2 linked regions of the Sus scrofa genome follow. The main gene of each other region encodes a partner of the protein of the gene in region 2 in a complex. Links are inferred from orthologs where the notes say so. Each region holds a gene or a part of one and is shown on either strand. Other genes may lie near its edges.

What was found.
Region 1: the proteins of SLC15A2 (region 2) and PDZK1 are in contact, whole or in part, in a crystal structure (PDB 6EZI), measured with the Homo sapiens proteins. The link is inferred for Sus scrofa from reciprocal best matches to the Homo sapiens genes SLC15A2 and PDZK1. Residues at the interface, in NP_066568.3 of Homo sapiens: Glu723, Thr724, Lys725, Lys726, Thr727, Lys728, Leu729; in NP_001188254.1 of Homo sapiens: Asn386, Gly387, Tyr388, Gly389, Phe390, His391, Leu392, Asn393, Ala394, Ile395, Arg396, Gln407, Tyr436, Glu437, Val440, Ile443, Gln444.

What each region holds. Positions count from the first base shown.
Region 1 is NC_010446.5:99,646,537-99,663,044, forward strand, and holds the end of PDZK1 (Na(+)/H(+) exchange regulatory cofactor NHE-RF3), read left to right. Parts: coding exon 1-156; intron 157-2,728; coding exon 2,729-2,925; intron 2,926-7,176; coding exon 7,177-7,395; intron 7,396-8,019; coding exon 8,020-8,310; intron 8,311-8,315; exon of another isoform or gene 8,316-10,145; coding exon 10,146-10,199; 3' UTR 10,200-10,634; downstream 10,635-16,508. Other genes in the region: Golgi pH regulator, read right to left, coding at 11,554-11,760, 11,906-11,971, 13,097-13,186, 14,923-15,018. UniProt on the Homo sapiens protein: A scaffold protein that connects plasma membrane proteins and regulatory components, regulating their surface expression in epithelial cells apical domains.
Region 2 is NC_010455.5:138,621,322-138,637,929, forward strand, and holds the start of SLC15A2 (solute carrier family 15 member 2), read right to left. Parts: upstream 11,201-16,608; coding exon 11,096-11,200; intron 9,097-11,095; coding exon 9,009-9,096; intron 8,408-9,008; coding exon 8,266-8,407; intron 6,154-8,265; coding exon 6,061-6,153; intron 4,655-6,060; coding exon 4,555-4,654; intron 1,700-4,554; coding exon 1,609-1,699; intron 1,322-1,608; coding exon 1,244-1,321; intron 1-1,243. UniProt on the Homo sapiens protein: Proton-coupled amino-acid transporter that transports oligopeptides of 2 to 4 amino acids with a preference for dipeptides. Transports neutral and anionic dipeptides with a proton to peptide stoichiometry of 2:1 or 3:1.

The sequences.
Region 1 (16,508 bases), on a different chromosome or scaffold from region 2:
ACAAGGAAACTGACAAGTACCATAGTGAGCAGAAGATAAAAGTCAAGAGAGAAACAGCCAGTTTGAAACTGCTACCCCACCAGCCTCGGATTGTGGAGATGAAGAAGGGGAGCAATGGCTATGGTTTCTATTTGAGGGCAGGCCCAGAACAGAAAGGTAAGGCAATAGAAGAGCAGAAAACCTGGCAGTGGAACCATCCAATTCTTTATCCCAGCCTGACTCCTGCGTTCCATTAGGCCCCCACTCCCCATCAAATTCATAGAGGAGACAGTAAGAAACTAGAAAGCATAGCTGGGTCAGTTTCCACATTATGTGGTGGCCTGATGATGGGCAGCCCTCGGTTTCCATAGCAGAATAATAAGGCAGAATTTGGGATCTGGGCAGTAGTATGCTGGTAAATTGGCTCTCTTGGGGGAAAAAGCCCCAATTTGTAGCATGTGTTGTTGTTGTTGTTGTTTGTGGTGTAAATACTCCCACCATGTCTGATTTCAAGCTGTCAACATGGAGTCACAGACTGCAAAGTTGAGAAGTTCATGCAAGTTTGGCTCTCAGAAACTGCTGTGAGCCAACACCACTAGATCTGAGGCAGAGGTGTGGGCTGGGATCTGGGACTTGAATAGAAGAGTCTTTCTGATTCCTTGTAATTCAATAAAGAAACGACAGTGGTCCTCCTATGGAAGCTGAATACATTAAAAAAAAGTGTTGGTTCAGGCCATGCAAACTCTTATTCACCCAGAAGCTGCTAGTTTCTTTTCATTGTATTATATGTATATAGTTATGAAATATTAACTTGGTTCATATTATATTAAAAACACCCTTGGGGCCTTTGAGAATATCAAGCGAATCAGACAAGAATTCTTCAGTCAATGAGCCTTCTGTTTAGCAGAGGAGATAAGACACATATGTCCACAACCGAAGATAGATGGCAAGAAACACCTTAATACAGGGGCCGATAGAATATTGTGGAAATTCAAGGTTGCAACAGATTTTTCTCACAGAAAAGGCACTGGGAGGCCTCATAGTAAAGGTAGCACTTGAGCTGAAGCTTTGTAGTATGAATAGAACTTGGACAAGCTAAGGGGTGGGGACAAAGAAGTCCAATCCAGAGATAGGATTGCATGAATAAAGCAGGGAAACATGGGCACAGTTTGATTGGCATCTAATGTGTAGCACAGAGAACCAAGTTAGAAAGGTAGGTTGAAGAGAGGTGATGGAGGTTTAGTGCCAGGTTGAGGAGTTTGGACTTGGTTCTATGTCAATGGGGAGTTAAACGGTTTTTGAGCATTGTGAGAGAGAATTAAAATTAAGCCTTCAGGGCCTTTGGGGCTTTACACATCTCAATTACTTCTGATAATTCTGCAAGAATTGCTGAAGTTGAGGACTTGAAGATACAAGCATTATAAGGTCAAATAGTTGTGGTATATTTAGTCTCAAGTTCAGGTCTGTTTGGTTCTAAAGCCCATGCCCACGTTGTGCTGACTGACTTGGTCAGACACGGCATCAAGATGAAGCTGAAGGCAGATGTGCACTGGAGAAGGTAGAATTCAAGACAAGAAATAATACAAACTGCATTTTGTGTAGAGGAACTAGGCCTAGAGGAGCTGTTTAACATACTAAGGTAGCATTGAAGGACTTAGTTGACTAGACATGGAGAGTGGATGCTGAGGAAGAATCAGCTGTTAAGTGTCAGTGACAGGGGGGAAATGGTGCTCCCACTAACAAGTGACCAAGAGGAAGGGCCTTGGAATGGGGAGATGGCCTAGATGGTTTTTGGTTTGAATACATTACACTTGAGGAACCTATGGGGTATCCAGTTGGAGATGTCAAGCAACTAGCTTTTTTGGAAAAGTAAAACTGGAACTTGTTAAAACTGTATGAGGGACACAAAAGGTATGAGAGATGTGGAGGCATCTGGTGAAGACAGTTCAGATCAGAAGGCTAAAGACACATCTTGAGGGAGTGTCTGTTGTGGCTCAGCAGTAATGAACCTAACTAGTATCCATGAGGATGCAGGTTCGATCCCTGGCCCTGCTCAAGGATCTGGGTTAAGGATCTGGCGTTGCTGTGAGCCATGGTGTAGGTCGCAGATGTGGCTTGGATCCCACGTTGCTATGGCTGTGGTAGGCCAGCAGCTGATTCAACCCCTAGCCTGGGAACTTCCATAAGCCACAGGTTTGGCCCTAAACAGCAAAGCAAAAAAAAAGCAAAAAAAAAAAAAAAAAAAAAAAAAAAGACACATCTTGTGTCATGCACACAAAATGCATTCACAATCAAACATGCCCAACTGCTACTAAAATGCCAGCATGGATTTTCTAGGGTCTGAATTCTTTGGTTTTGTTCATCATTCTTCTCTTTCTCCTGCTTGTGGCTTAGCTCCTACATAAGATGTATGGATACAAGCATGCACACCGATTTCCTAGGATCTTGGGACCCTTAATGCTTACCATGCTATTTTGTCAGATACTTTTAGTAACAACATGATTCTTTAAGATCCTCTCGTTATTAATGTCTGGGTTTGTTCCTGGAATGAGTTCTGACCAAAGAACAAGGTCTACTGGGATACATATAGACGGCCTAGGGTGCCAGTGGGAAGGATGGGAGCTGTACTCAGCAGGCTTTTTAATCTATTTTATAAGGCCCTTAGGCTCCAGCAGAAACATCACTGTTTTTTAGGGATCTTTCTGATAATTTTATTTATTTAGGGTTTTTTTTTTGGGGGGGGGTGTAGGTCAAATTGTCAAGGACATAGATTCCAGAAGTCCAGCAGAAGAGGCTGGCTTGAAGAACAATGACCTGGTGGTTGCTGTCAATGGCGAGTGTGTGGAGTCCCTCGATCATGACAGTGTGGTGGAAATGATTAGAAAGGGTGGAGATCAGACTTCATTGTTGGTGGTAGACAAAGAGACGGACAACATGTATAAACTGGTAAGTAACACAAGGCCATATATTCTGGCTAAGTTACCACTTTGACTCTTCATCCTGGAAGGAACATAGCAATCATCATTAAGCCTGCATGAAAGCTCAAATGGGTAAGGAGAATGCCAAGTGATTGATACATGAGTTTTAAATACTTAGATTGAGGATTTTAGAAAGAATTTGAAAATATAACTGCAGAATTTCTCTTGGTGACCTGAGAAAATCTATGAAAAATATTCTGGAAATAAGCAGATGTAGCCCTAACTTTCCCAAATAGGGAACAACTGGATTCTAAAGTATAGACCAATAAGTAAGTTCTGTCATTCCCATGTAAAAGCCTGGGAGGGATTATTAAACAGTTTATAAGTCCTTAACAAGGGAATAGAATCATAGCATTAACCAAGATCAAGTTGTGTCAAACCTTATTTCCTCTTAACTCTTAATCACAACAGCTAATCTGCATATTTTAAAGTTTTTTTTTTTTTTTTTTTTTTTTTTTTGCTATTTCTTTGGGCCGCTTCTGCAGCATATGGAGGTTCCCGGGCTAGGGGTTGAATCGGAGCTGTAGCCGCCGGCCTACGCCAGAGTCACAGCAACGCGCAATCCGAGCCGCGTCTGCAACCTACACCACAGCTCACGGCAACGCCGGATCGTTAACCCACTGAGCAAGGGCAGGGACCGAACCCGCAACCTCATGGTTCCTAGTCGGATTCGTTAACCACTGCGCCACGACGGGAACTCCATATTTTAAAGTTTTTATAACATTTATTTTATCATAAAAACTGAGGTTCACTCTAGCTTAGCAGAAATTTGGGGACCTTCTTAAGTACCATCTGCCTTGCTGGGTTGGTTACAAAAATGAACAAAGATGAACTTGTTCTATGTGATATACAATAATGGATACATCCAAAAGTCTGTAAATGATATAGAGGGAGGAATATTATGGGTGGTGGTGGTTGTGGTATTAACCTCCTTTTTAGATTAAAACCTGAAGCTTAGAGAGACTAAGTGATTGGCTAAAGTCACCTAGCTTAGTAAAGACTGAAGCCAATATATGAATGCAAGTTTTAATTCATTATACCATATTCCCTCCAAGCACAACACTTTGATTAGATATTTGAAGAGACCTGTATAATGAAAGGTAAAGAGTGAACTGGATGATAGAATAATTAATGGGTTTTTAGCCAGTTGAACAACCATACCTAAAAAATACGTGACATTGGACAATGTCAACCTGAACAGGTGTCTCTAATGAATGGTTGCTTGTCCTATCCTAGTTTATTATTACCTGTAAATGGAGACATGGAAAATGTATTTGACATATGTGATACAGATGACTTAAGTCTGATCATGGATAATTAATTTACTAGAGACTATAATTAATATTCCAAGTAGTATACTAACTTAAAGCTAAATTGTATGAATGCCAAACGGTGAAACCTAATTTGATGACTAGAAAAAGAGCACAAACTTGATGATACTCTAAGTAGCTGTCCCCTCCCCAAAAAAGTCAATTTAAGGTTATATTAATTGACATTGGGCTTTTGGAGATGATAGTAGTATTGTACTGAGTTGGTCAGACTATACTTTAAACTACCGGTGGTGTAATCTTGGGCAAGTTACCCTCCTCATGCCTGTTTCCATGGTTGTAAGATGAGGGTAGCTACTGTGACGGGTGGGTATGAGTGTTAAGTGAGTTAATATTTAGAGCATTCAGAATAATGCCTTGCAGTGTTTTATATCAACATTGTGTCCAGTTCTGAGAACCTCACTTTAAGAAGGCCAGTGTCAAGAAAGGTAACCAGGGCAGAGGATTTACAAGACATTATGTGCATATTCAGTTGAACAAGCATAGAATTTGGGGAAGAAAGGAGAACATCTCCAAGAATTTAAAGACTAAATGGTGACTATGTAAGGTGATAGATGTATTAACTAATTTGTGGTAATCATTTCACAAGGTGTATATATATATATATATATGTATATATATATATATAAAATCAACATGTACAGCTTGAATATATACAATTTTGTCAGTTATACTTCATTAAGGCTGAGAAAATACATGAAGCAAAAATTTACAAAATTAAAAAGAGAAATATACTTCTACAATAATAGTTGGAGACTTCAATATCCCATTCTCAATAATGAATAGAACAACCAGACAGAAAAAAGCAAGGAACCAGAAGACTGGAACAACACAAACCAGCTAGATTTAACAGACAAACACAGAAGACGCTACCCAACAACAGAACACATGTTCTTCTCAAGTGCACATGGGATATTCTCCAGGACAGACCATATGTTAAGCCACAAAATGTCACAATAGCCAAATGATGGAATCAATCCGATGGAATCAATCTAAGTGTCCACTGACAGATGAATGGAATTTAAAAATGTGGGGTGTGTGTGTGTATATATATATACATACATACATACATACATACACACATATATATATATATATATATATATATATATATAAAAAACATACATATGAATTTGAAAGGCATTCTATGGGGCACAGCTTGACCAAACAGAGAAGCCATAGGGAGCTAGCTTTTGGCTTAAGGACAACTGAAGCTTCCAGGAACAAGCTCTGCAGAGTGGGGGGCTCCCAGTTTGTGGAAAAGGTCAAGCAAAAATCGTAAGGTCACTGCTGTGGCTGTTTAAAAGGAATTCCGGTATGAAGTCCTTTTCAACACTTCCTAGTCATATGACAGAATGACTTAACTATAATTTAATGTTCTGGTTAAAATGAGAGAATTTGGATCTAGAAAAATGACTGTCTCTACCTTCTTTCTCCCTCTTTACCCACTACCCTATACCCCCCAAAGTAAGTTCCATAGGTAGGTAGGTGGGTTGTGGTTGGATCTTTGATATATATCAGTGAATACAACTCCTAAACCAGTTCCTGACATCTACTAGACACCCAAATGTTTGAATGAAGAAAGAGTAAAAGCTCAGTAAGTGTTTAATGTTACTGTACTTGGCCTCAATATTAGCTGCTACTGTCAGATAACGGTTGATTTGCTTGTTTGGGTAGTGATGTCAGAGGCATTTTTTGCATGTGATGAGTCATTCTGATAATTTCCCACATTCTAAAGAGAGAAAGAAATGCGGAGCATTTGCAAGTATATCACTGAAATGTTTGAAGTTATTAGCTAAACTGGGTAACTAGGAGGTTCTGTGCTGGTGCTACGCTTGTTTAGAAAGGCAGATGTAGGACAGATGATACCAGGACCCCAAATCCAATTGCAGCCAGGCTGCTGAACAGTAAGCTCAAGGGCAGAGGATGTTGTACTCATCTTCAATTGCTTGATTTTCTACTCACTGCCAACAAATGTCCTGGACAGCTGTGCGCAGCAATTTAGCTGCTGATCCTAGACCTTATGGTACCCAAATATACTCTTTTAATCCTCACAACTAAAACCAACAGCCAGCTAAACTCTTTATTCCCTCTCATATTCATATATATATATATATATATATATGACAACAAAAAACCCAGTCACATGCTTCCTGTTCTCTACCTCTTTTTGCATTTAAGACAATCACTGCCTTCTTCATATGGATTGTCTAGAGTTGAGATGGATTAGAAGTATTTAAAGATAGTGAGTCTAGTATAACAGAAATGTCAGGTGATGGTTACAATAATAAACAGTATTCAAGATTGGAGGGGGAGGTGAGAGAACCAAGTAGCAAAGCATTGGAATTAACTTGTTACCGTATGTGACCAACTGTGTGATTGCCACCACCCTCTACCCCTCTCCCCAATTAATTACTGTGCTTCAGATAGTGATAAAAATACTGTCTCATGTTTTACTTTCTCTAATGTGTTTAAGCTCTGAAGACCACCTTATTGAAGGGGAAGGGCCAGGTGAACCTACTTTGCCCAGAATACTGGGCAAGTCAATGTTGATAATTTCCCAGCAAGGAGAACGCCTGTAGTTTGTTCAGTGACTCGCTCAATATCATGGAAACAAAACCCAGTAATTCTGGTAGACTTATTTTTGGATTCTTGTACAACATTCTGTACTGCTTTTATTTTATGTATACATACATTTGTTTACATGTTTATGCTCATTACTCCTTAACAAGCTCAATTTTGCTTTATATCTCTTCTGTTTGGGTCATAATTATATAGCTCACAACCAGATGTATCTGGAAGAGGAGTGGAACATGTATGACGCCTTGTAAATTAAACCAGCACACTTAAAGTGCAATTTCTAATGTTTTTTCCCCCTTTGTTTTCAAAAGGCTCGTATTTCTCCTTTTCTCTACTATCAAAGTCAAGAACTGCCCAATGGTTCTGTCACGGAGGCCCCTGCTCCTGCTCCTCTGGAGGTCTCCAGTCCAGACACTACAGAGGAAGTGGGAGATCATAAACCTAAACTCTGCAGGCTGGTTAAAGGTGAAGATGGCTATGGCTTTCACTTAAATGCGATTCGGGGTCAGCCAGGCTCGTTCGTCAAAGAGGTATGGTGATCTGGTTCTGGCAGCCCAATGAACACAGCCAGTTAGAAGGGCCTCAGTTTCTCTCATTCACTGATGCCTCAGTAAAAAGTACACTGAGGGTCTCCTTGGGTTCAAATATGTGCTATAACGGTCCCGTACCATTTAAGATAGTTGCTAGCATGTCCCAAGCTCACATCTTTTGTTTCCTAGACATCTGTTCCACATAATTGTCTCTTTAATTACTTTAAACAGAGTAAGTTGGCACGACTGCAGTTGACAGTCACTAACAACTCTGACTGGGAGTGATACTTGTTTGCTTCTGTGCATTTGGCATAATGCCCCTACCCTGCAGGGACTGACAGTGAGATGATTGCTGCGAAAGCTCTCAAGTTGGGAATGAAGAAGGGGGACCTATGAAACCTAATGCCTTCAACCCCAGAAGACATACAATGTGATATTCAACCACTGTGACACTACTCATTTGAGTGGGGAAGTTGTAGCTTTTACAAGCAGAAAAGCACTAGAGCACCATTCTCAGCTTCTGTATGTCAAGGTGAAATAACATCACCTCTCCTCTGAAGAATAGCTAGTCTAATCTTCTGTTGTCCGTGTTTGGAGGTGATAACTCAGGACTTCTGCTCACAGGTACAGAAGGGCGGCCCAGCTGACCTGGCTGGGCTGGAGGATGAGGACGTCATCATTGAAGTGAACGGAGTGAATGTGCTGGATGAGCCCTATGAGAAGGTGGTGGACAGAATCCAGAGCAGTGGCAAGAATGTCACGCTCCTAGTCTGTGGAAAGAAGGCCTATGATTATTTCCAGGCTAAGAAAATCCCTATTGTTTCCTCTATGGCTGATCCACTAGATGACGCCCCTGATTCTAAAGAAGGAACGCTGGAGGAATCGGAGCATGACTCGCACACGGCAAAAGAAAGAGTGAGTGATGACACATTTCTTTTAATGATCTGACTAACCAGAGTATAGTAAAGTCCTTAATAAGCGCATTACACATCTATGTTTATCTCAGATTTCCTAAAATACTAGAAAATTACAGTGTAACAAGAACTAGCACATCCAGTTATTGAGGGGGAGAGAAGGTAAAGACAACACACTTCTTATTTTTCACTGCGTGGAATTGACAGTAATTGCCTAAAGTTCATAAATCGAGAAATAACAGAAGCTTATCAAAATTATAACAGGAACCACCAGAAGAACCTGAATCAGACTCTTTACGTACAAATTCTGGATCTGCCATTTATCATCCTTGGCCAAATGGATTTATTCTCTGTGCCTCATTTTCCCCACCTTTAAAATAAGGATAATTTGTAGGATTGTTATCAGGATTATGTTAAATAAGATTTTTAAAGTGCTTTGAACAGTGCCTAGTTCATGGTAAGAGTGAAATGAATGGTGGTGGTTAGAGACAGTATTGTTCTTATTATTCAAGTCTATTACTAGGGAAGAGTAAGCATTATTCTATATGTACTTAGATTAGATAAATTCCTTGGTAAGTCTCAACCTTTCACAGATGAACTTGAGAACTGACCTATCCAAAAGCGAACTGACCTATCCAAGTTCATAAAGGGAATGTATAGCAAAGCCAAAACGCTAATAAAAGCTTTATACACTTTCCATTACATTAATTCTACTGATTGATAATATATTAAAAAAATACTCATTAAAAACTATTTTTTTGGCCATGCCTGCAGCATGCAAAAGTTGTAGGGCCAGGGATCAAACCCACACCATAGTAACGACCTTTGCCCCAGCAGTGACAACACAGGATCCTTAACCTGCCACGCTACCAGGGAAATCCCAAATACTCATTTTTTTTTTGTTTGTTTTTCTGCCTTTTTTAGGGCTGCTCCTGCGGCATATGGAGGTTCCCAGGCTAGGGGTCTAATCGGAGCTGTAGCCACAGGCCTACGCCATAGCCACAGCAACGTGAGATCCGAGCCACGTCAGCAACCTACACCACAGCTCACAGCAATGCTGGATCGCATTAGGAACCTCATGGTTCCTAATGGGTTTCGTTAACCACTGAGCCACAACGGGAACTCCCCAAATACTCATTTTTAATGAACACATGCTTAGTCTGTTTGGGCTGCTAAACAAAATATCATAGACTAGGTGGCTTATAAACAACAAGCATTTATTTCTCACAGTTCTGGAGACTGGGAAGTCCAAGATCATGGCACTGATAGATTCAGTGTCTGGTGAAGGTCTTCTCGCTTGCAGGCTCTTGACTTCTGGCTATGCCTTCACCTGGTAGCAGGGGCTAAGGGGTCTGGGAGGACTCTTTTATAAGGGCAGTAATCTCAGTCATGAGAGCTATGTCTTCACCTCCCAAAGGCCCAACCTCTTCATAATATCACTTTGCGGAACAGGATTTCAATTTATGCATTTTGGGGAGATACAAATATGCAGATCATAGCACACATGATAGCCACTGAACTTGTATTCTGGGTTGTTTCACAAAAAATGTATTCTAGGTATCTTTAAAAAATTCTATAATATCTCTATAGGAAGTTAATTATAGTACTATGCTAGTTTGGTAGAAAAGGCGTATGTGTATGTGAGTGTGTGTATAGACACACACACATTAAGAAATGTGTTAGTGTCAAACAAAGCCAAATGTAGAATTTGGGTCATCTGGCTTCTAGTGAGTGACTCTACTCCCTGACTTAAGCCATGCAACCCTGGAACAGATCATCCATTTCCTGATGTTCACACTCTTACCACTTATAGATCCTCTGTTTTCTTTTTCACAGGCCAACAGTACAGCCTCTCATTCTTCTTCCAATTCTGAAGATACAGAGATGTGATGAGAACAAGTAATGGCTTTGGCTGATAACCATTTCTGGGTATTTAATAGGAATCCTTTCCCAAGGAATGAGCTGCCACCAGTTTACTTTCTCTGTTAGAAAAGACTCCTCTGGAAACCAGTTCATCATATGTGATTGTCTTCTGCTGTCATCCATCTTAGGGGTGGCTACTGCACATAGCTTATTTATGGTCAGCTTAGGAAAAGTGAAGGCAGGAGCCAGATGCTTTTCGCATAATCTCTTTCAAGCTTCAACTTAACTACATTTCTCTGTATGATGTTATCTCTTCTATAGGTTCTTAGAGCATCAAAGACAATTCATAAATCTGTATATGTGAGGGCTGCTAATTAAAGTTTCTGAACAGATAAGCCTTTTAAAATTATGCTTTTGTAAAAGAATGTTGTTGTTGCTAAAATAAATGGCATTAAAAATGTCTTTTTTTTTTTTTTTGTCTTTTTAGGGCCACACCCACATTAATTCCCAGGATAGGGGTTGAATCAGAGCTGCAGCTGCTTGTGTATGCCACAGCTCATGGCAACATCAGATCCTTTAACCCACTGAGAGGGGCCAGGGATCAAACCCGTGTCCTCAGAGAGTCTCTTATTCCAGTTAACAGTTACTCATTGTTTTATCCCACAGTACGAGGGGCAGATAAAAAGAAAAAATGAGATATCATCACTGACTTAAATTTAGAGTAATTCACAAATAATATGAAGTTGAGAGGAAATCAAGAAAAATGACATAGTCTGAAGTCTCTCTTGGCAGAACATTTCATTTGTACACCATTTCTTCCCCAGAACAGATAATCTTTTGGTTATTTTCATGGGGCCAGGGTTGGGGAGGAGGGGCAGGATACCAACTCACCTTATACAAGCATAATACCAAGCTATCTTTGATAAAATGAAACTAAGGCCAAAGTATTACAACCTCTGATTTTAATGATAATCAATCTCAAGGGAAAGTCATAACCTTCTCCATGTGATCCTTGACTTAAACAGAAACCCTATGTTTCTGGCCCAGCTACCTGACATGTCTCTTACCCTAGAGTTCCAGTGTATTTTTTCCCTTTAGTTTCTCTGCTCTTTTCCACTCCTACCACCCAGCATGCTGCACCAGCCTCCGACCCAAACAGGTTGGCTGAGGACTAGCTCGAGTTACTCCTCTTTCTCATTTCCAGCTGATGCTACTCATGATCACAGTATCATCTGAGGAGGAAGGCGTAAACTGGAGGTAAGATATGCTACCACAGCATATTGTTTAAAAAATATTAAGTCCTGGTCCCCCCTCCATTTTTTCCCTCTTATATCCAAATTCTGGCATCAGTGGCCTGCAGCAGTCTGTAATAGGCATGAGTTCAAGGTGCCATATGCTTCTCTGGTGCCTGTTTGTGAGCCAAATAGAGGAAAAGTATGCTGGAAAGAGCACTGACCAGGAAGATCACATCAAACCAACGGTGATAGAAGTTGAACTGCAGCTCTCCAAGGACTTCGGTGACTATGGTGCGGTACTCCAGGGGCATGCTCATTCGGATCAGTAGCACCGAGGAGACGAAATACATGCCCTGTAAGTCCAATTAATCCAGAAGTCACTTTGAATGCAGCGACACACGAGTCAAAGGAAATTGTTAAATAAGGAAATATTTAAAAGGATAAAACACATTTCTGGTATTTTACAGCTGTAAACATAAAGCTAGTTCATAAACTCACCATTATCTGTGCTAATAGCAGGACAATGACATTGGAGGACTTACTGCTGGAGATGGCATAAAAGAACTAGAAAGGGAGGAGAGGTGGATTTATACAGATTCCTGTGTCAAAAACATTACATAGTACGGTTAACATTTAACAGTGTCTCTTCTATGCCACAATCCTGCATAGAACCATTCAGATGATTAAAGCTATAAATAAGAGATTTAACTAGATTGCCCCAAAACGATCCACGTATAGTTTTCCCATACGGGTAGTTGGTGGTTTTAAGTATTATAACATGAAAGGAATCCAACTGCTATCAAACTTTTTAGAAACTATGTGATACATAAGACTTTATCACCATTATAACACATTAAAACAAATTACCCTGGGCCACTCTAAGCCTTTGTAATTGTTATTAGGCTCCTGAGCTCTTTCTAAAATTGTGCTAGATGCTTAGAGATCCCCTCTCCCCTCCCAGCCTCTTTTCTCCTTTCATTCGAACACCACTTGGATCTTGAAATCCTTACCTCTTCTACCAGAGAGGATTTACTTTCCAGCTCCATGAAGCCTTCCTATGTTGACCAGAAAGCATTCTGCTGCTCCTACTTCCATATTCTCCTTACAAGCGACTCAACAATTATTCTTCTAATCTCAAATTCTATCTTATTTATTTATTTATTTATTTATTTTTAGCTATTTCTTGGGCCGCTCCGGCGGCATATGGAGGTTCCCAGGCTAGGGGTCAAATCGGAGCCGTAGCCACCGGTCTACGCCAGAGCCACAGCAACGCGGGATCATTAACCCACTGAGCAAGGACAGGGACCGAACCCGCAACCTCATGGTTCCCAGTCGGATTTGTTAACCATTGCACCACGACGGGAACTCCTATCTCATTTATTTATTATAGATATCTGCTCAGTACCTACTATGTACCAAGTTCTGTTCTAGTTGCTGGTGACATAATCAGTGAGCGAAGCAAACTGTGATCTCACTCTATGACTTTTGGCAAATGTACTTATCTAATCGGTGTATGATGTAAATACATCATCAATTTGTGTATTAGTTTAAATTTTTCTTTTATTCAGTTTTATGTCTTTTAAATATCTGTGTCTGCTAAGATCTCAGAAGGCAGAAATCTTTATTAGGTAAAATGATCTTGTAGTGCCACGTGTAATAAGTACTTTTAAGTTCTGTGATACAACATACCTTGGTAAGAGTGATCAACAATCCTCTGATTGATGTGACGATGATTATTCCAACTAGAATGAAGGAAATGTGTTGGGACCAGAACTTCACCTGTCATTATATTAATAAGAAAAACATTTGTTAAATCTCTGTTGAGAGAGATGTGAATATGAAGAAGATGCATTCCGATTGCTTATGTGACGGTGAGTAGGAACTTCATTAAGCCCTACGTGATTTAAAAAAATTTTTAGGGAGGGAGGAAGGTGAGTAAGTGGCAATGAAAAGACCTATAGCCAGACTGCAAAGGATATCTTGATTAGCAGACTTAACACTAATAAATCAGAAGACACAGAGCTAATGACATAGGTTCAAGCGAAAATCATGAATTAAAAGGAAACTAAATAGCAGCCTGATAATGTTTAATATTTGTGAATGACAGTCCTCTAAACACCCAAAACTTTAAGGAAACTTTCTTTTTATAAAATCTATAGACATTCTCAGCTACAATCTAGGAAATAGCTGAATTTCATTTGAATCACAAGAGGATACCCTGTATCCTCCTGGATTACTTCAGAGTGAGAGGCAGCTGTGATACCCTGTGCTTGATTCAGGGCTGAAAAGCATCTTAGGGGGAGCTGTATTGGTAACATCTAAGAGATGTTATTCAGAATGATGAAACATGGAGTATGCAGATGAGCAATAGATGGAGTACATATCCATACACAGCAACTAGCCTTGGAAAGCACTGATAAGGAGGGGCATTTCTAAAAATTCACCCCAGTAAAAAATTTAAAAGAGGAAAACATACGTAACGATAGTAGAACATACTTTACCATATAGTTTATATACTACTTTAAGGAGAGACACCATGCTCCTTCACATGAAAAAGGATACACGACTGATCTGTCATCAGAAAGTGTGTGCTTTGAGCTGTTTCTCAAGGACTGGAGCTCAATTTGCTCTGGTGTATTTTCATTTTATCCAGCTACCAGGGGATGTCCAGCTGAGGTGAATGGCTGAGGGTAGCATGAAGTCTGTGGCCAGGATCATAGCATAGCTAAATGCCTTATAAGAACTAAAAACATGACATTGGTCTTATTATCGAAGTGCCAATCAGCTAGAATCATTGGCCATATACCTAGAAAAGACACTATTCTACAAACAAAAACATTAAACTTAAATTGGGGAGTTCCCTTGCGGCTCAGTGGGTTAAGGATCTGGTGTTGTCACTGTTATGGCTCTGGTTACAGCTTTGGTTCAATCCCTGGCCTGGGAAATTCCACATGCTGTGGGTGTGGCCAAAAAAATGGGACAAAAGTGTGTTTAATAACAGAGGTATCATAAAACAGGTAGAACGATGATTTAAAAAAAGACTTTGTACACAGATGACAGTTACCATTTTTAGCTCAAAGTTCACAGGAATTGATAGATAATTTTTTACAGCAGGAATCATTTCAGTTCTAAGATGAAACACTAATTAGTAGTTATTCTTCTACCTGAAGAATCAAAAGTGAGCTATGTGTTTGAAGATGTCATCAAGTATCACAGAGAGAAGAATTCGAATATTTGGTGGGGAAAAGCTGGTGAGTAGTAGTTGCTACAGAGAAGTAGAGGAGGGATTATAGAAATAATCAGTATCCATATCAATAATAACTGTCAGTCATTACTTAGGGTTTTATGCCCTTTATAAATCTGCCACATGAATATGCCAAAATATACAGCAGAGTGAGAAGAACAAAAGCAGAAACAAGTATCTAAGGTAAGGAGTTGGAATTTAAAGAACGGTAATTTATAGCAAATAAAATAGAAAGAAACATAACAAACTAGGATTTTGATACAACTCTTACATCAAATTGGATCCCCAGATAATTCACAGTGATTTCAATGCCTCTTGTGACTGGATCAGTTTTCCCAACTCGGTCAAAAACGATATTAATGGTTGCCTGTAGAGATACAGACCTTCACATTGGAGTATTTTAATCACTATTTCAAAAAAAAAAAAAGATTCAATATAATGACCAAAAGTATCTTACAGGTGGATATTCCTAAAAATGCAGTTCCACTCCCAATCCAAATCATATATAAGAAATTTATTTTTGCTTTTCACATATAGGCAAACCAAAGCCCCTGTCTATCCTATCTTTCTTTTCTGTAAATTGTAAAGGGGAATACAGCTATGACATATGCAGCTTAATTTATTAGGAGCCAGAAAAGCAACATTCTGGTAGACAAAGTCAGGGTAAGAGAATCAAGAAAGTCTAGGGTCATTCGTGTGATTATTTTCTGAAAGCTCTAAGAACAATCACTAAAACAACAAAAAGACAAGCCAACTAAGAACATCAAGTGGAATTATGAAAAACATCCAAATAATCCAAAAGAAGCCAGAAAAAAAGCAAAAAGGGGAAAAAAGAACACGAGACAAACAAAATCAATAGCAACATAACTGTTTTAAATCAAACAAAATCAATAGCAACATAACTGTTTCAATCCTATCAATAATTACATTAAACAGAAATGGTCTAAACCAGGGGTTGGCAAACTCTGCTACTGTCATGTGACAGTAGGTATGTGACAGTATGTAGATAAATGGGCTTAGCTGTGTTCCAATAAGACTTTTTAAATAAAAGCAGATGGTGGCAGGATTTGGCCTATGGGCTACAGATGGCTGACTCCTGGTCCAAGTATGCCAATAAAATGGCAGAGGCTGTCCAGATTAGATAAAAAATGCAAGTTGCTTCCAAGAAACCTACTTTAAATATAATAATACTAAATATATAAATATATATGGAGTTCCTGTCATGGCTCAGTGGTTAGTGAACCAAACTAGCAGCCACGAGGACACAGTTTGATCCCTGGCCTTGATCAGTGGGTTAAGGATCTGGCGTTGCCGTGAGCTGTGGTGTAGGTCGCAGACGTGGTTCAGATCCCAAGTTGCTGTGGCTATGGTGTAGGTCAGCGGCTACAGCTTCGATTAGACCCCTAGCCTGGGAACCTCCATGTGCCACAGGTGCAGCCCTAAAAAGACAAAAAGACCAGAAAAACAAAACAAAAACCTAAATATATAAATATATATATTTGATACAGATGGGTTAAACATAAAAGTATGGAAAAAGATACATTATGCTAATACTAGACAAAAGAAAGCTGGGATGTCTATATTAATATCAGAGAAAGTAGATTTCATAGCAAAAAATACTGCCAGAGATTAAAAGGGTCATTTCATAATAATAAAAGAAGCATTTCAACAGGGGGGTACATAATGACCCTACATGTACATATGTGAAGCAAAAATTGAGAGAATTAAAAAAAAAGTAGACAAACCCATAGCAATAGGTGGATATTCAACACCCCACTCTCAGTAATTAAGCTCAGCAGGTTAAGAACCTGACTAGTATCCATGAGGACACAGGTCTGATCCCTGGCCTTGCTCAGC
Region 2 (16,608 bases):
GTTGATTAAATGTTTGTTGAATGAATTAACGATTTTTAAAAAACAAATGAATAAATTAAATTATAGTGAAAATCCAGAGAATCGAGTTATTTACGAATACCCAGAAAATTGGAGCAGCTATTTTGACAGCTAACACTTGTTTAACATTTCATAATTTATAAAACATTTCAATTATAGCATCTCTTTTGATCTTCATAATTACTCTGATATGTAAACAATATTGTTTTGCAATGATCCAGAGAAAGAGCCATAGTACTAATCAGAGGAAAACCAGTAAAGTATTTGGGGAAACATTTGGCTTTAAAGGGAGAAGGAAGCACAGGTCTCCTAGAATAACACATAAATTCCTTGGAACTGGAATTACAATCTGAGTAATACTATTAGCACCCCAAGCAGAAAATAATCAAATGGAACATTGAATCTCTGGGCTCTTTTTCCACTATTGAGCTCTTTATGTGTTTGGACTGGATATCTTCCGGGGGGGTGTCACCCAAAGGCTCAGTGTAAGAACAGGTTTCCAGGTCAATGATTAGAAACAATCATGTCCAAGTTTTCCCTTGGACTGTATAAACCAAGCACACACACACCCCTTTCCTCTTCCATTGCTGGGTTCTTAATGATAAAGTGAATGCTACTTGTTCTAAGTTGCATCATTTCCAACCTATTTATCTAACTTCTTTCTTATTCTCTTCGCTCAAGAGCAAACTTCTTGGGAGCACTGCGGAGCGAGGCAGAAACTGCTAAACCTAGAAGCTGTTTTAAAAGATCCAAAGAATTTTAAAAGTCTTAAAAATTATCAGACAAATAACTATCAGATGAAATAGAAATAAGCTAGTTTGAGGGAAATGATGATACCTTGCTTCTTTAAATATTTTGGTGTAGATCAGTACATCTTAATCTTGACTACACATAAGAATGACCTAGATATTTAAAAAGTTATAAATGCCAAGGCCCTATCCCATAGAGATCTTAACATGGGGTCCAGGGATAAGTTTTCTTTGTTTTTTTTAAGATCTCTAGGAAACTTCGTATTAGTTATGTAACTTTGGGAATTTTTTCTTTGAGGTTTCTGACTTTATTCAGTTAATTTATCTCCAATGTGTAGGGAAAATCCCTACAATAACACCTACCTAATGGACTAGTGTGAGGACTGAATGAAAATAGTTTGTGTAAAGTGCTTAAATCACGCTTTATATATAGTAGGCATCAATGGTTATTTGTTTCCTCTGTTCCTTGTACTCACCAAGAGCTATTATCATAAGCATTCCTGGAACTCCAAAAGCCAATGCGTAGCAGTCTTTTCCAAAACACTGCACATCTCCTAAAGGAAAAAACAAAACAAAACAAAACAATTAACCCTGAATCTTGAGTCTCTGATATTCTATTCTGTAAGCTCAAGTTTTTGAGGTCATAGACAGAGCCATCCTCTATCTTCCCATCAGCTAATCCATAATCTTTCTTTTGTACCAGACAAATCAAGATTCAAGGAAATGCTCTCATATTTTCAAACCCTTATAAAAGGAGAAGACAGGAGGAAGCCTGGAAGGGATTTCTGTGTGACTGGCCAGAGTAAAGCCTTATACAGGGCCCCTCAGAAACAATCCTAACCTCTCAGCATGGGTGTGACAAATGTAGAAATCAAGCTCCCTGCATTGATGGAGAGGTAGAAGACTGAGAAGTATCTAGTCCGTTCCTCTGCCTAAAAAACAAAATATGACAAATCATCAGAGCAATGTGACTCCTGGCTCTACCCCCACCTCATGTTCAGACTAAGTGAACGGTACATACGCAGACACAGAGTCAGATATTGCTTCCATGATACGTGAATATCATATTAGGTGTCTGAACACATCTCCGGCTGACCCAAGACAAGCATTTATCTTTCAAATAAGCATCTTTAACATCCTTTTACTCCTTTATCTCGGCAAAATGATCATCTTGTACACTATGCCTATGTACTGCATCCTATACATATCTATTCTAATATTAATTGCTTTGCATGAAATGTCTGTTTCTTTCAGTAGGTTGGGAGTTCCTTTAAGGCAGAAATTATATCTTCCTATTTTTGGTAATCCCCACTACCTAGCATTACACCTGATTTATATTATGGAATCAATAAATTTTTATTAACTGAATGAGTGACTGAATGGAGTAATAAATTTTGCGGAATATGCAGTAGGAATAGGACAAAAACCTAGGACAGTGGAGTAAACTGTAGAACAAACAGGGTAACTTGTGCTTAAGGGAAGTCTGCCAGAGAGTACAAAAGGAAGTCTGCAGGCTTAGAAGTGGCCGCTGGGAACTTAGACGTGGGTTTGTCTATTATTGAAATATCTTTGTGGAGCAGTTACCAAATGAAGCAACTCTCAAAAAAAGTTGCTGATGATTTATTCATTAGATACTTCTGTGCTTCATTCTGGGACCCAAGATCTTTTCCTGACACACTAACACAGTCCCAACTTTCTCTTTGTAGTATGTACTACTTCTTTTTCTCTTCCCCATTCAAACCCGTTCTTCTCATCTATGGGTATAGCTCATTGTGCATAGAATCCCACTTGCAAAGATTGGTTATTTCTCCAAGGTCAGCAAGCAGTTATCATCTATGGACCCTCGGGCAGATAAAGAATATAAAATAACTTAATTTTTTTTCTTTTTAAATGACATTTTATTTCTCATTGTCAATGACTAACTTTTGAACATACTAGAAAAGTATCTTGATTACAGTGAGTAAAAAATATTGATGATAGAATTAAAATACTAGGTTATACAAAGTTAGGTTTTTTTTTAAAAAAATATCACTGCCCATGAATATTTTTAGGACTTGAGTTTTGGGGGAAAAAAAAAAAACAACTTCATTTGTATTTTTTTTAACACTTCCCCTGTTAAAAATTAAGAGCATATATTGAGACTCATTTGCAGGCACCTATTACAATAAACAGAAGGACCACAAAAATTAAAACAAGTTCCAAAGACTATCATGTATAAAAACTTCTGTATAGAATGAGGACAAGAATTCACCCTATTGAAAAACCATCTCCTGTGGTATACAGATTTTTTTTTTCATATAGAGAGAAAACTGGAGTTCCCTCTGTGGCACAACAGGATCAGTAGTACCACTACAGCACCAGGACACAGGTTTGATCCCTGGCCCAGCACAGTGCGTTAAAGGATCCAGCATTGCCATAGCTGGGCTTGGATCTGATTCTTGGCCCAGGAACTCCATATGCCTCAGGGAGGTTAAAAGACAGTGGGGGCGGGGAGATAGTTGGAAAACTGACCATTCTATACTTGGAATTATTTTTCCACTTGATCCAGTATTTTTAATGGTTTTTCCACTCCATAAATTAGTATTTGTTCAGTAGCTAAGAAAAAGTCCTATGTTAAATTATACCGAAAGAAATCAGGAACTTCCCTGAAAGGGCTAACCTTAATTGCCTGATGGAGGTTGAAGATACACTCAACCAACAAAAAGTCACACCACCAGGAAGCAAGGAGGGTTTGCTAAGCGTCAGCTTCAGTTCAGCCTCGAGAGATGAATGGTCTGAATGGTGAGAGAAACACAGGAAACAGGACGGAGAGAAGGAACAGGGAGTGAAAAACCAGAAACATGATATAGACAAGGGAAGAATACATGAAAACATACAAAAAAGAAAACTGAGAGGAAAAGAGAGGAAGGTAGAAATGTTGGTGGATTTACAAACAGACAATTTCCCTTGCCTCATTGTCAATACTTCATCATATGTGCCATTTTTACCTTTATTTATTCTGTTTTACCCCCATTATTAATGGAAAGTATTTAGGAAAAGAAGGAATGATCATCCAGACAGGTTCATCCATAGAAACTCATTCTGCTTTATTCTGAGTGGTCATTTTCCCCTTTCATAGACTCTCAAAGCTAGAGATGTTTAAATCTTCTTTACACTACTCATCTCCTCACATATTCCCAAAGTGGTTATCATGTTTCTTCTTAAATAAGTCAAGTGACAGTAAACTCACTGTTTTCAACTCTGACTAGTTGAAGTTTTTTCTTTCATCAAGCAAAAAGCTACCTTCCTATAGCTTTCATTCTTTTTTTTTTTTTTTTTCTTTTTTTGGCCGTGCTTGCAGCATGCGGAAGTTCCCAGGCCAGGTATCAAACCCGCACCAGAGCAGCAACCTGGGCCACTGCAGTGACAACACAGGATCCTTAACCTACTGTGCCACCAGGGAATTCCAGTTTTCACTCATTGATCTCTGGTTTAACTACTGACATCCTCCCAATATCTATGGACAGCTATAACATTTTCTTTAATTCTTATCTTATCCAGGTTAAATACCTCCCTTTCCCTCAATCTTTCTTCATAAGATGCATCTTTTAGTCCATCCATAGACACTTCCCTTTGAAATGTTTCAGTCTTTCCCTCTATTTATGACCAGTACCCAGCCTTGAGCACAACTCCCCAGATATGATCTGACTGGTGGATCACTACAATTTTGGCAAATGGCTATCTGCCAGGTACCTCACTTAATGCCCCTTTTACGTTTTTAAAAATACAGAAATAACAGGACTCTTACATGTTTTTCTTCAAACTGATCTCCACCAAAAGCTGCCACACAGGGTTTGATACCTCCTGTCCCCAAAGCGATTAGACTCAAGCCGACCATTGACAGGATGCTGAAATGGAGACGTGAGAATACTAACCATATTGATACTAAAAACAACTGTAGAAATTGAATATAGAGCTATAGGAGAAGAAAAAAAAATGTGTACAAGGGCTAAGACCTCCTTTACATTTCTACCCTCTGGGCATTTTCCACATACTTGCGCTCCTAGGGGAGACCCAGGGGCACTGACAATCTTTATAACCCTTGACATTCTGCCAGAAAGTATCCATCACATGGGAAGATTTTTGTCCCTGATAGTTTCATCTACCCCTTGAGTGCAACAGATAGAAGCAGATACTGAAGGAACGCCAAAGCTAAAGCACTGGTTCTCAATCTTGCCTTAGTCAAAGGGACACTCCAATAGAAACATCTTATGAACCCTTGTCCTACTTATCATTACTAACCAACAAAAAGTTAATATCATAATTAATAGGAGAGGTGCCAGTGATTTTTAATGGGATGACAAGAAAAAAGGTATCTAATATTTATTAAATTTCAAACAAAAGTCTTAACTCATGAGAAAATACATTATAAGCATGAATATATATGACCTGCTTCTTGAACAGCTCTAACCCTCTCTACTGACTCAACCAACAGACATCAAAATTTACCAAAAACCTCTGGCATCATAAACATCAATAGCTTCAGTAAAGAGGTATAGAGTAACTGGAATATATGGAACTACACATAAATGGAAATCATCTAAGTTTTGAATATGAATTCTACAATGTATTATAAGAAAACATCATAGATTTTTTTTCTTTCTTTCTTTTTTTTTTTTTTTTAGGGCCTCACCCATGCCATAAGGAGATTCCCAGGCTAGGGGTCAAATTGGAGCTGTAGCTGCTGGCCTATGCCAGAGCCTCAGCAACACAAGATGTGATCTGCATCTGTGACTTATACCACAGCTCATGGCAATACCAGAGCCTTAACCCACTGAGCAAGGCCAGGGATCGAATTTGTGTCCTCATGGATGCCAGTTAGACTCATTAACCACTGAGCCACGAGGGGAACTCATACAGATTATTTTTTAACTCTGGTAAAGTATAATGCATGGGTGGGTGAATAGGTGAGGGAATGTGGAGGACTTGAAGGTTTTCATCACTGTCTTCAAGCATATGAAGAGTTTTTATGAAAAAGATACTAACTAGTTATTCTACAAGTCCCCAAATGCACAATAACAATAAACAAGCCCAGAAAAAAAAAAAAAAAAAACAAAACAAAACAAAAAAACAGGAAAAAGTTCAGCTGATCAAAGATTTTTTTTTCTTAAGCAATTTGGTAACAAAATAGTAGGTTGGAAAATAAAGGGACATCTCTGGTAAGAAGACAGGAAAACATCCGTAATGAATACATGAGACATTTACCCATCCGATGGAGGGAAAGTGGTTTGGTTTATCCCATGATTTTACTCACGTGTGTATCATATGTCCCCCCAGTATTGGTAAGGCACCCAGGGACTTGATCACATGGCCAAGGACATACACCAAGGAGAGATAGATAATTGTCCTGTTGAGAGAGTTAAATTAGTCAATCTACAAACAGAATTCAGATATTTGAGTAATACAGACTCAGAGTTCATACTGTTCTCAGTGTCAGGATAAATGGAGTGGGAGGAGGAAGGAGTGGAGGAGGAAAGAATTACCTGAGAAACGCAAACAGAAATAATAATGGAGAAGGAGGCAAACAGACTAGAAAAAGAGACAGCAACTCTTCGCCCTGTAATGTTAGAGATAATGGACTTTCCTTTCTCATATCTGCTCTAACCTATTTCCCCATTTATCCCACATATGTGCAGAATACCCCTGATCTTGTACAAATATGTCAAGACCAGGTTGGATTTGTAGCAAGTGACAATGTTTTAAATTAGGAGAACCAGAAAAGTGGAATACTTTGATCAGAGGGCTTTTTTTTCTTTCTTTCAGGGAATGTCTTTGGCTCTAGAAATCCATAAGGTCAAGGAGAATGTCATGTAAACAGGAAAAAAAAAAAGGGGGGATGGCTAACACAAAGAACTTTCTCTAAATGCAATCACTGGGATGTACAGAGATATAAAGGGCTCTCGGGCTGAGTCTGGTCTTGCACACCTGGGTTAATTATAATCCTCACAATTTCCTCATGGACAATTTCCCAAGGGTAAGAAAGGAACCAGGGACTTTGAACAGACCGTCAAAGTCTGATAGAGCTCAGAGAGTTGGTAGGGACTTGTGCTATTTTTCAAAAAAATCTGAATGATAAATATGTACAGATATACACACTGAAATAAGGCACACTACCACACATACAACATACTTCTTACATGTATTACTACCCCAGCATTACATATAAGTAGAATATTAGTACTAGAAAGAACCTTGGAAATTACATAGTTTACTTCTACGATTTTAAAGTGTTATATGCTGATGTAAAAAGAAAAAGAATGGAATGAAGGTAGCAGAGAGAGGCTGGAGATTCTAGAAATCTCAGAATGTGCATTTCTCATTCTAAATGCCTAATCTTCCTAGCCCTTGGCTCTCCAGGAAACAGGAAAGGGACCTTAGAAAGTTTTATAAGGCACACAGGAGATAAGTTGAATGACTAAACCAGGGCGACTTAGTATCAGAGGAGGGGGCAGGCTTCCCCAAAAGGCCTTATAGTGTCTTCTGGAAAAAAAAAAGGTTCTCTTTGTTGGAATAAAAACAATGAATAGAAAAAAAAGGCATAAGAAGGGACTGAAAACGATCAGTATTATGAACCCAAATAAATGATCTATGCTAAATCATTATGGAGGAAAAAAATAAAAGGAGTCTGAGCTGGGGTGATAGAGTTTGAGTAAAGAGATCATGTCAATATCAGATTGTTACACTAAAGGAATGAGAGAAGTGTTAGGGGCCTAGGAGGAAAACAGGCAGTCCTCTAGGTGAAGGACTCAGGGAATAAGTCCAGAAAGGAAGCGAATGACAGAGAACTTTAACAGAAGGAGAGAGAATCCTTTTATTCTGCATACCGTGCCAGCCCTCCATCTGGATGGACTTGGTAACCACACTACGTAAAGACCAAACATAGATATCTGCCACCTGCCATTCCTCTCCAAGTCAAGAAACTGTGTTTAGAACTGCGGCAGCTGGAGCTCTATATTAGGTGCTGAGTAAACACTTTAGAATAATGAATATATATATATATTGCCACAGCCACAGCAACGCCAGATCTGAGCCGTATCTGCGACCTGGCAATGCGGATTCTTAACTCACTGAGCGAGACCAGGGATCAAACTTGCAACCTCCTAGTCAGATTCATTTCCACTGCACCACAATGGGAACTCCTGAACTATAAATTTTCTCATGGGAAGCAAACTCTATCATGCCTGAAATCAGAACAAGAATTGGTCTTAAACTACAGAATGCAGGATTAAAATTAAATATAAGGGAAAAAAAAAACCTTTTGACTGAAAAGGGTGTAAAAATATTGAAGAAATTGATAGTGAAGAGACATAACCTTTTCTGGATTATCAGTCTGAGATGTTCTTAGGTACCATGAGTGACACGAGTATGTTCCTGCTGTGAAGCAAGTGGCTAAAAAGTGACAGTCTCCGCAAAATCAATCTGTGAATCTTCTTGGGATGTGACCTCCCATTATCCTTACTTGAATTTTCCCAACCATGAGTCAGCAATGGCTGCTCCCAGGATGGGAGTGAAATAACAGAGGCTGCTGAAGGCGTGGTATACAGAGGTGGAAGTGTCTTCACTCCAATGCAGGAAATACAGGAAGTACAGGGTCAGCACAGCTGAGGCAAAAAAAAAGGTGGGGGGGGGGGAACAAAACAAGACAGACGCATTAAAATGATTTACGGAGAAGAACATTTGATCTGGTCTTTGAAGGTGATCTTCAGCATTCCTAACAGTGAAGTGACTGAGGGGTGACTGCTGGGCAGTAGAATTGGGGCCCCTCGGAGTTGTAGGAATGAAGCGGGTGATGCTTAGTGTACAAATACAATACTCCTCTCTTCAGTCTATGTACACATAGCATCACTTAGGCCAATCCCAAAGAACATGGAGCGTCTAATATCCTTTCCTTCCCAGTAACAATATAATCAATACATCTGAGGAACAGAAAAGAGGAAATGGAATGCCAATGATGAGAGTTTTTCCACTTATATTCTCATAGGCTGTGTTCTGATTTCCATTAGGCCCTTCTATTCTTGGCCTGTATGAGTTAGTAGGTGAAATCCCATGAGGCAGGTTTTAGAAGTCTTGGACAAAGGAAAGGACCAATTGGATGAAGGCAGAAAGAGTAGACAAGGGAAGTAACTGCATAGAAGACCAGGTTGTTACAAACATGGGGTGAAAGTGAGTGCAGAAGAGCAGGACTCTAGGACACAAAATTACCTTTCATGCCATAATAGGAAAAGCGCTCACAAAATTCATTCACCACGATGAAGGCAATGCTCAATGGATAGTTGGAGCCACAGATTTTCTGTAAAACAAAAAGGCAGTGGTTCAAGTATGAACTATATTTCCTTACTTAAACCACTAGATTGCTCCACAACAGGAAAAAAAACATTTATTTATTCTTTTTTTTTTTTTTTTTTCGGCCATGCCCATGGCATGCAGAAACTCCTGGGCCAGGGACTGAACCCGCACCATAGCAGTGACCCGAGCCACATCAGTGACAATACCAGATCCTTAGTCTAGGCCATTAGGGAACTCGATTTTTTTAAAATTTATTTTTTAAAATCACTCTTTAAAGTCACCATAATAGGTAATATGAAGCAATGGCCCCTATTTCTCATGAAACAGCCGGTACCATACTAAAAGTATTTGCATTGCTGATTTAGGAGTAAGAGAAACTATTCTGAATATTACTTTGTTCATCATTCATTTAACATGGAACTTCTCAGGCATCCATGATTCTAGACACCAGGACCTGTTCATCTTCCCACAAGTACTAAATGAAACATCCAGCGCCCCAGGCAGGAGAATAATGAAATTCATTTCTAGGAACAGAACCAAGAGTTGTCCTCTAGAGCATCTGATGTCTAAGCAGTTACACTTAGCTGTCAGTATACTTAGCTCCACTGTGCAGATTAACCTCTGTCCTCACCTGCCCTGTTCACTGTGCTTGGAGGAATCCTGGCAATATGAAGGCCTCCCTCTAAGTGGCTACTAGAGCCAGGCACAGAGCCCAATACAGATTCTTAAAGGTAAGCTGATTGAATACCTTCACCTTGGGCAGAGTTCTTAAATCTTGTCAAATTAAATGTCCATTCTTTCTATAAAAGAGATTCTACAGCATTTTAATGGTAATCCTATTGGGCATTAAAAGTACTATGCTATTTCAAGCATTATCTGTCAGAATATAAGGAATATCATGTTTCATTTCAAATTCCTACCCATTATGATGGCCCAACTAACATGAGAGAGGGATGGAGATATCTGTTCTTGGTTCAACCAAATCTTACCATGAGATTTTTATGGTCTCTTCTTATTAATAAGATACACACACACACACATCTTTGTGAGCAAGCTTAAATTCTTTGGGACCAGAAGAGATATAACTAAATAAATAAATGATAAATTAATACATTAATGTATCCAATCTTTTATCCATATAGATATAAACAACCCTCCTAAATATTAATATACATTAATGTATGATTAAAAACTTGCTTGAAAGATACAGTGAATTAAGTTCTTTACCTTTTAGCTCACAGTTTGAGAATTATGCAACTTCAAGTTTAATTAGCACACTTTTACTAGCTATGTAACACTGTCATTGGCTGTGTTAACATACTGCCCCCGGTGTATCACTACACTTGTCTTTATACTTCAATTCTATTATTCCAAAGAAACTACCACCTCTAGAACACTACCACCTCTTTGTGGTAAGAACTCATTAAATACTGGCTAATATTTCTATATCCTCTCCACTTATAGGATTTTGATATGAAGATTGAAACGAGATAATGAATTTGCAAGTGCTTTAACACGTATACAAAACATTATTATCACTTCCTTGTTTCCCTGTTCCTTCCCCCACTGTAAACTGAAACACATAATAACAGACCTTGGTGTCCAGCATAGACTCTACACACAGGGGGAACTAAGGGTTGAGTTTTTATATTAGTAAAGAAAGAACAATCACACACAGTTCTCCAGAAAGGAGTGCTTGCCAAGTTTCCCTGGACGCTCAAAGTGCTTTTTTTCCCACCCTAGAGAAACTCAGAGTATACAATGAAACACATCAAAGTCTTAGATGCCAATTGAAGAACTCTGACTACCTCTTTCTGCTGCATCCTCTCCTAAGTAAAGGAAACTTCTGTTTAGACTTGGTTTACAGGTTAACTCTAAATCCGAGAGAGAGAAGAGTTTTTAACACTGTAACACAGCTCAGCCTGAAACTCTAGAGGCCAAGGAGGAGAACCAAAAGAGCAAGTATGTTCCTGTCAGAGGCAGAACTGAATCTGAGGACTCACCGGAGATGGCTTCTTTGGAAAGCTGGGGGGTCGAGGTGGTACTTCTTCAGTGGAGACAGGTAAAAAAAGTGTTTCCTTGGATTCATTTTTCTGGAAGGGATTCATGGCTGGCTCCTTACTCTCTCTCTCTTCAAGCATTTGGCTTTGGTAGGCAGTCGGACAGCTGCCAGGCTACTGTGAAAAGGGGGACTGGGAGGGGAAGAGGGGGTGGCTTCGGCAACTAGGTTTAACCCCGTGGGTGTCGGGCTTCAGCAGCTGCCTGCAAAGTAGAAAGCTATATAAAAGAAAGGATCGAGTCTTAGAGACTAGTTCAAAGAATGATTATGTTAAAGGTAGAGCACAAGGAAGAACACCACATCATGGGCTGGAAGAGCATAATGCTGGAGAACTGCAAATGGATGAAAATTAGTAAGACTACACAGACCTGGAGCATAGCCTGGAGCACAGATTTCAAAATTGATTTCAGGGTAATAATAGCCACCACTTGTTGCACATCTACTATGGGCAAAGTTTATATATACATACATATATTATATCTATACCCATATGTTTTAATTCTTACTACTATCCTCGTTTTAAGGAACTAATAAACAACAGGTTATGTAATTTGCCCAATATCATGTGGCCAGTAAGCAGCAGATCTGGAATTTTCGGTATGCCATTACATATAGATTAGTATCAGTAAAGCCTATGGTCCTTTCTCGGGAATGGAGGCTATATGGAAATGTAAACATAGGAACATAGGAATGCGGGGGAACTGAAATGCATTGAAGAGGGAAGGTCATCTCCAAAATGAATTTGGATAGAAAAAAACATTTGGTTTTCAACATAATAAAGTTCAACTAGAAATATCCTATAAGCAATTAAATAGGTCTTGGTCATGTACATTTGGGAATAATTCTTCTACTTTGATAAATTTATTTTCTCACGTCAAGATGAATCCTTCATGACATGAGGAAATACAATTTAATTTGCATAAAAATTAGGAACCAGATATTTTCTAGTTACTATTACAAACATCATTTTCCTTAATTTTCAGTGAATGGACTTCCCAGTGACTCCAGAATATAATATTTATTTCCTATCAGAGGAGGAACAAGAACAGCCATGACAATGATAGATGTACTTTTTACAGTATGATTTTTGCTAAGTCAAAGAGGCAAAATAAGAACAAGAGAGTATGGTGTCCATCTAGCTGTCAGTCAAAAGAGAAAGGAAAATAATGGCAAGACAGCAAGAAGAAAAATGAAGACTAAACCAACAAGGAAGTCAGGAAACAGGGGAATGAATTATTTTATTTTAGAATATGAGAGAGAACCTATGACTCTATTCCCTGTAAAGTTCTTCCATTACCTGTTTGAGTAATTTGTTGACAAGTAAGGCCAGAATAAACTCTATCCTCTCTTTCCTAAACTCTATCTTAGACTTTGACCATATTTTCCCAGCTTCTAGTATACCTCTTATCCCACTTCTCTCCCACCAATGAAAAAGAGTCCAGCTTCATTTCAGACTGTGACATTAATGATTAAGCTGTAGTTATTCTTTCAGGAAGCACTGCCCTTTCTGACCTAGTTTGGTTAATGACTCTAGATGCAAAACAAATGAACAGTCAGAAGTTACTGGTCAAGTTAACCACTAGAGGCACAAATGTCTTTAAGATCTAATTATATCAGTGGCTCCCCTTGCTCTGACTTGATAGCATTTGATCTGGCAGAGCAAATGGAATAGCACCTGTGAACAAAGCACCAATTCATTTGTGCTCATAGGTGCCCTAAATATCAAACTTTAGAGTATTGGCATTGGTTCTCATACTCCTTTGTTTAGATGAAATTCTTCTTTTAATTATGCAATACTATGCTAACATTAATAGAATCAAATAATATCAGAGATGGAAGGAAACTTAATCTTGTCCTATGTAAACTAAACTTCCCTAATGATAAAAATCACTTAGGGAGGGAGTTCCTATTGTGACTCAATGGGTTAAGAAACACAGTGTCCGTGAGGATGTGGCTTTAATCTCTGGTTTCGTTCAGTGGGTTACAGATCCAGTATTGCTGCAAGGTGCGGCACAGTTTGCAGATGCAGCTCGGATCCGGTGTTGTAATGACTGTAGCATAGTCCTGAAGCTGCAGCTCTGATTCAAGCCCTGGCTTCAGCTGATTCCATATGCCATGCATGTAGCCATAAAAAAGAAAAAAAATCACTTAGGGATATCTTATATATATAAATTTCCAGAACGATTCTCTCTCTCTCTCTCTCTCTCTCTCTCTCTCTCTCTCTCTCTCTCTCTCTCCTCACACACACACACACACACACACACACACACACTTAAAGGCCTTTCCTTTGAAAATTCTTATTCTCTAAGGAGGTATTTAAGAATGTATATTTTAATAAGCATCTATGGTAATTCTTAGAACAGGGGTTTGGTGAACACTGGTTTAAAATCCTTCTCTTAGTCTAGCCTGAAGAATATTACAGAAGGGCTCAGACTAGAATCCCCACCTTCGAGACCTAAAGCCTTTTTCCTCCTTATCAAGATGCCTCTTATACACCATTTTTGCTAAGTTGAAATCAGATAGAAGGATAAAAGGGAAAAGATCAAAAAGAAAAACAACTTCTGAATAGAAATGAGTACAAACACTTCAGGGGCAAAAAAAAGCAATAAAAGTGGAAGAACCTAAAGTATGTGATAAGAGTAAAAAATACTTGTGACCTCAATGATTATGACAGAAGAGAGATTTTTTTTTCTTTTTGCACCTGCACCTGCAGCATATGGAAGTTCCCAGGTTAACTCCATATCCTTAACCCACTGAGTGAAGCCACATATCAAACTTGCATCCTCACAGACACTATGTTGGGTTCTTAACCAACTGAGCCACAATGGGAACTCCAAGAGTGATATATTAGGCTATGTACAGAAAAGAAGCTCTAAAATGACAGACACTCACATAGTTAGAAAAGGCAATTAAAAGAGAACATGTGTTTAGCAAAGTGCATCAATATAAAATTACATAAAAGTACATTATTTAAATATAGCAAAAACAAATAGAAAAGGAAATTTAAAAAATTATACTGCTATAGTAGCATAAAAAATACCCAGGAATATATCTATTGAAAGATGTTTAAGACATCAATACTAAACACTTAGAGTATTAGTATGTATTTTTATGTAATTTTTACAGTTCATTTTATATAAATTACATCATTTATTTACCTACTCCTACAAATGAAGGCGCTCTCAACCTCTTACGAATACATTTTTATGATTTTTTTCCATTCTTATTAAGTCTGACTCATCTCGTAAAGAATTGGAAATTACTGGAGTTCCTGTGTGGCGCAGTGGTTAACAAATCCAACTAGGAACCATGAGGTTGCGGGTTCGGTCCCTGGCCTTGCTCAGTGGTTAAGGATCTGGCATTGGCATGAGCTGTGGTGTAGGTCCCAGACGCGGCTCGGATCCCACGTTGCTGTGGCTCTGGTGTAGGCCAGTGGCTACAGCTCCCTTGCCTGGGAACCTCCATATGCCGCGGGAGCAGCTGAAGAAAAGGCAAAAAGACAAAAAAAAAAAAAAAAAAAAAAAAAGAATTGGAAATTACTAAAATAATTATTACATGAATGGTATCTAAATGATATAATTCCTAAATCTGACATGTCTAAGAATGCTTTCTTAACAAACTGTGGATGATATTTGATGAATACATGATTCAGAGGTCACACTCGTACCTTTGTGCAGATGCAGCTTTACTAACTTTAGAGTTCAAGTGCAGTGCTATGGGATAGTTCAAAGCCCACTGATTTTTGTTCCTTTGTAACCAACTTACTTTCCCTACTCGCATGCTTACATTATCATCAGTTTCATCAATCTATTCAGAAAGGTCAAACTAAAAGAATATGAGCTTATGTTAACTAACCTTATTTTAATAATAATTACATAATATATACAATATCTAATCATCCCATTGTACACCTTAAATTTATATAATGTTATCTGTCAATTCGATAAAGCTGGCAGGAAAAAAAGGTATGTGCTTAGAATCATGTGAGGATGGTTCTGACAGTGAACCTCATATCTGAGAACTTGTCTCATCCACTGATCCCCACATTTCAATGTCTGAAAATGCATCAAATAAAAATAACACAGAAGCCCAAGATATACTATTTCATTCCTTTCTAAGATACTTATGTTTACCCTTAAGGGGGATAAAGAATGATATGCTAGGTATTCAACCCATAAAAATAATTTTAAGAACATATTTCATTTATGGGAGAAATAATAGAAGAGAGGAAGGACAAGTTGTTTTGACTGTGGGAGGTATATTCTGAGAACATAATGTGTGTTATATAGTCAGCATTATCAGTTCATATCACCATGAACTCATTTCTGGTAAACACTAATGAAATCTCAGCATAACAACTTTCAGTAAAAAACATTATAATTTGTATTCCTGCATTAAAATAATAAGCTACTTGGAATATTCAAGCTTGCTTATTTTTTTCATTTTGGCCACATCTGCAGTATTTGGAAGTTCCTGGGCCAGGGACTGAACTGATGCCACAGCAGTGGCCTGAGGCACAGCAGCGATAATGCTGGGTCCTTAATCCACTGAGCCACAGAGAAACACTCTTTTCGAGCTTGCTTTAATTAAGTAATATATAACATAGTTTTTGGCATCGATGAATAAAATAGAAATAAAGGTGAAGACATAAATAGGTTATGGCTGAAGATGGGCCAGAGAGAGAAAGGGAGAGAGAAATGGGAGAAATTAAAACCAAACCTGGAGTTCCCGTCATGGCTCGGTGATTAACGAATCTGACTAGGAACCTTGACGTTGAGGGTTCGATCCCTGGCCTCGCTCAGTGGGTTAAGCATCCGGTGTTGCCATGAGCTGTGCTGTAGGTCGCAGACACGGCTAGGATGTGGCACTGCTGTGGCTCTGGCATAGGCCAGTGGCTACAGTTCCAATTAGACCCCTAGCTTGGGGACCTCCATATGCCGTGGGTGCAGCCCTAGAAAAGACAAAAAGGAAAAAAAAAAAGAAAGGAAGAAATTAAACCCAAACTTAAGGATTAAAAAAAAAAAAAAACAAAAACTATAGAACTTGTTATGATAAGAGGTGAAGGTGGATAAAATATTTTTTCATAATTGCCAAAACTTGGAAGTAACCAAGATTCACTCAGTAAGTTACAGGATAAATAAACTATGGTACATCTAAACAATGTAATATTATTCAGTGCTAAATAGAAATGAACCATCAAGCCATGAAAAAGACATGAAGGAAACTTAAGTGCATATTATTACGTGAAAGAAGCCAATCTAAAAAGGCTGCATACTGTATGATTCCAATTATAAGATATTTTGGAAAAGGCAAAACTAAGAAGAGGGTAAAAAAATTATTGATTGTCAAAGGTTGGTGTGTGGGGGAATGAATTGGCAGAGCACGTTTTTTTTGGGCAGTGAAACTATACTGAATGATAATACAATAGTGGATAAATGTTATTATACATTTGTTAAT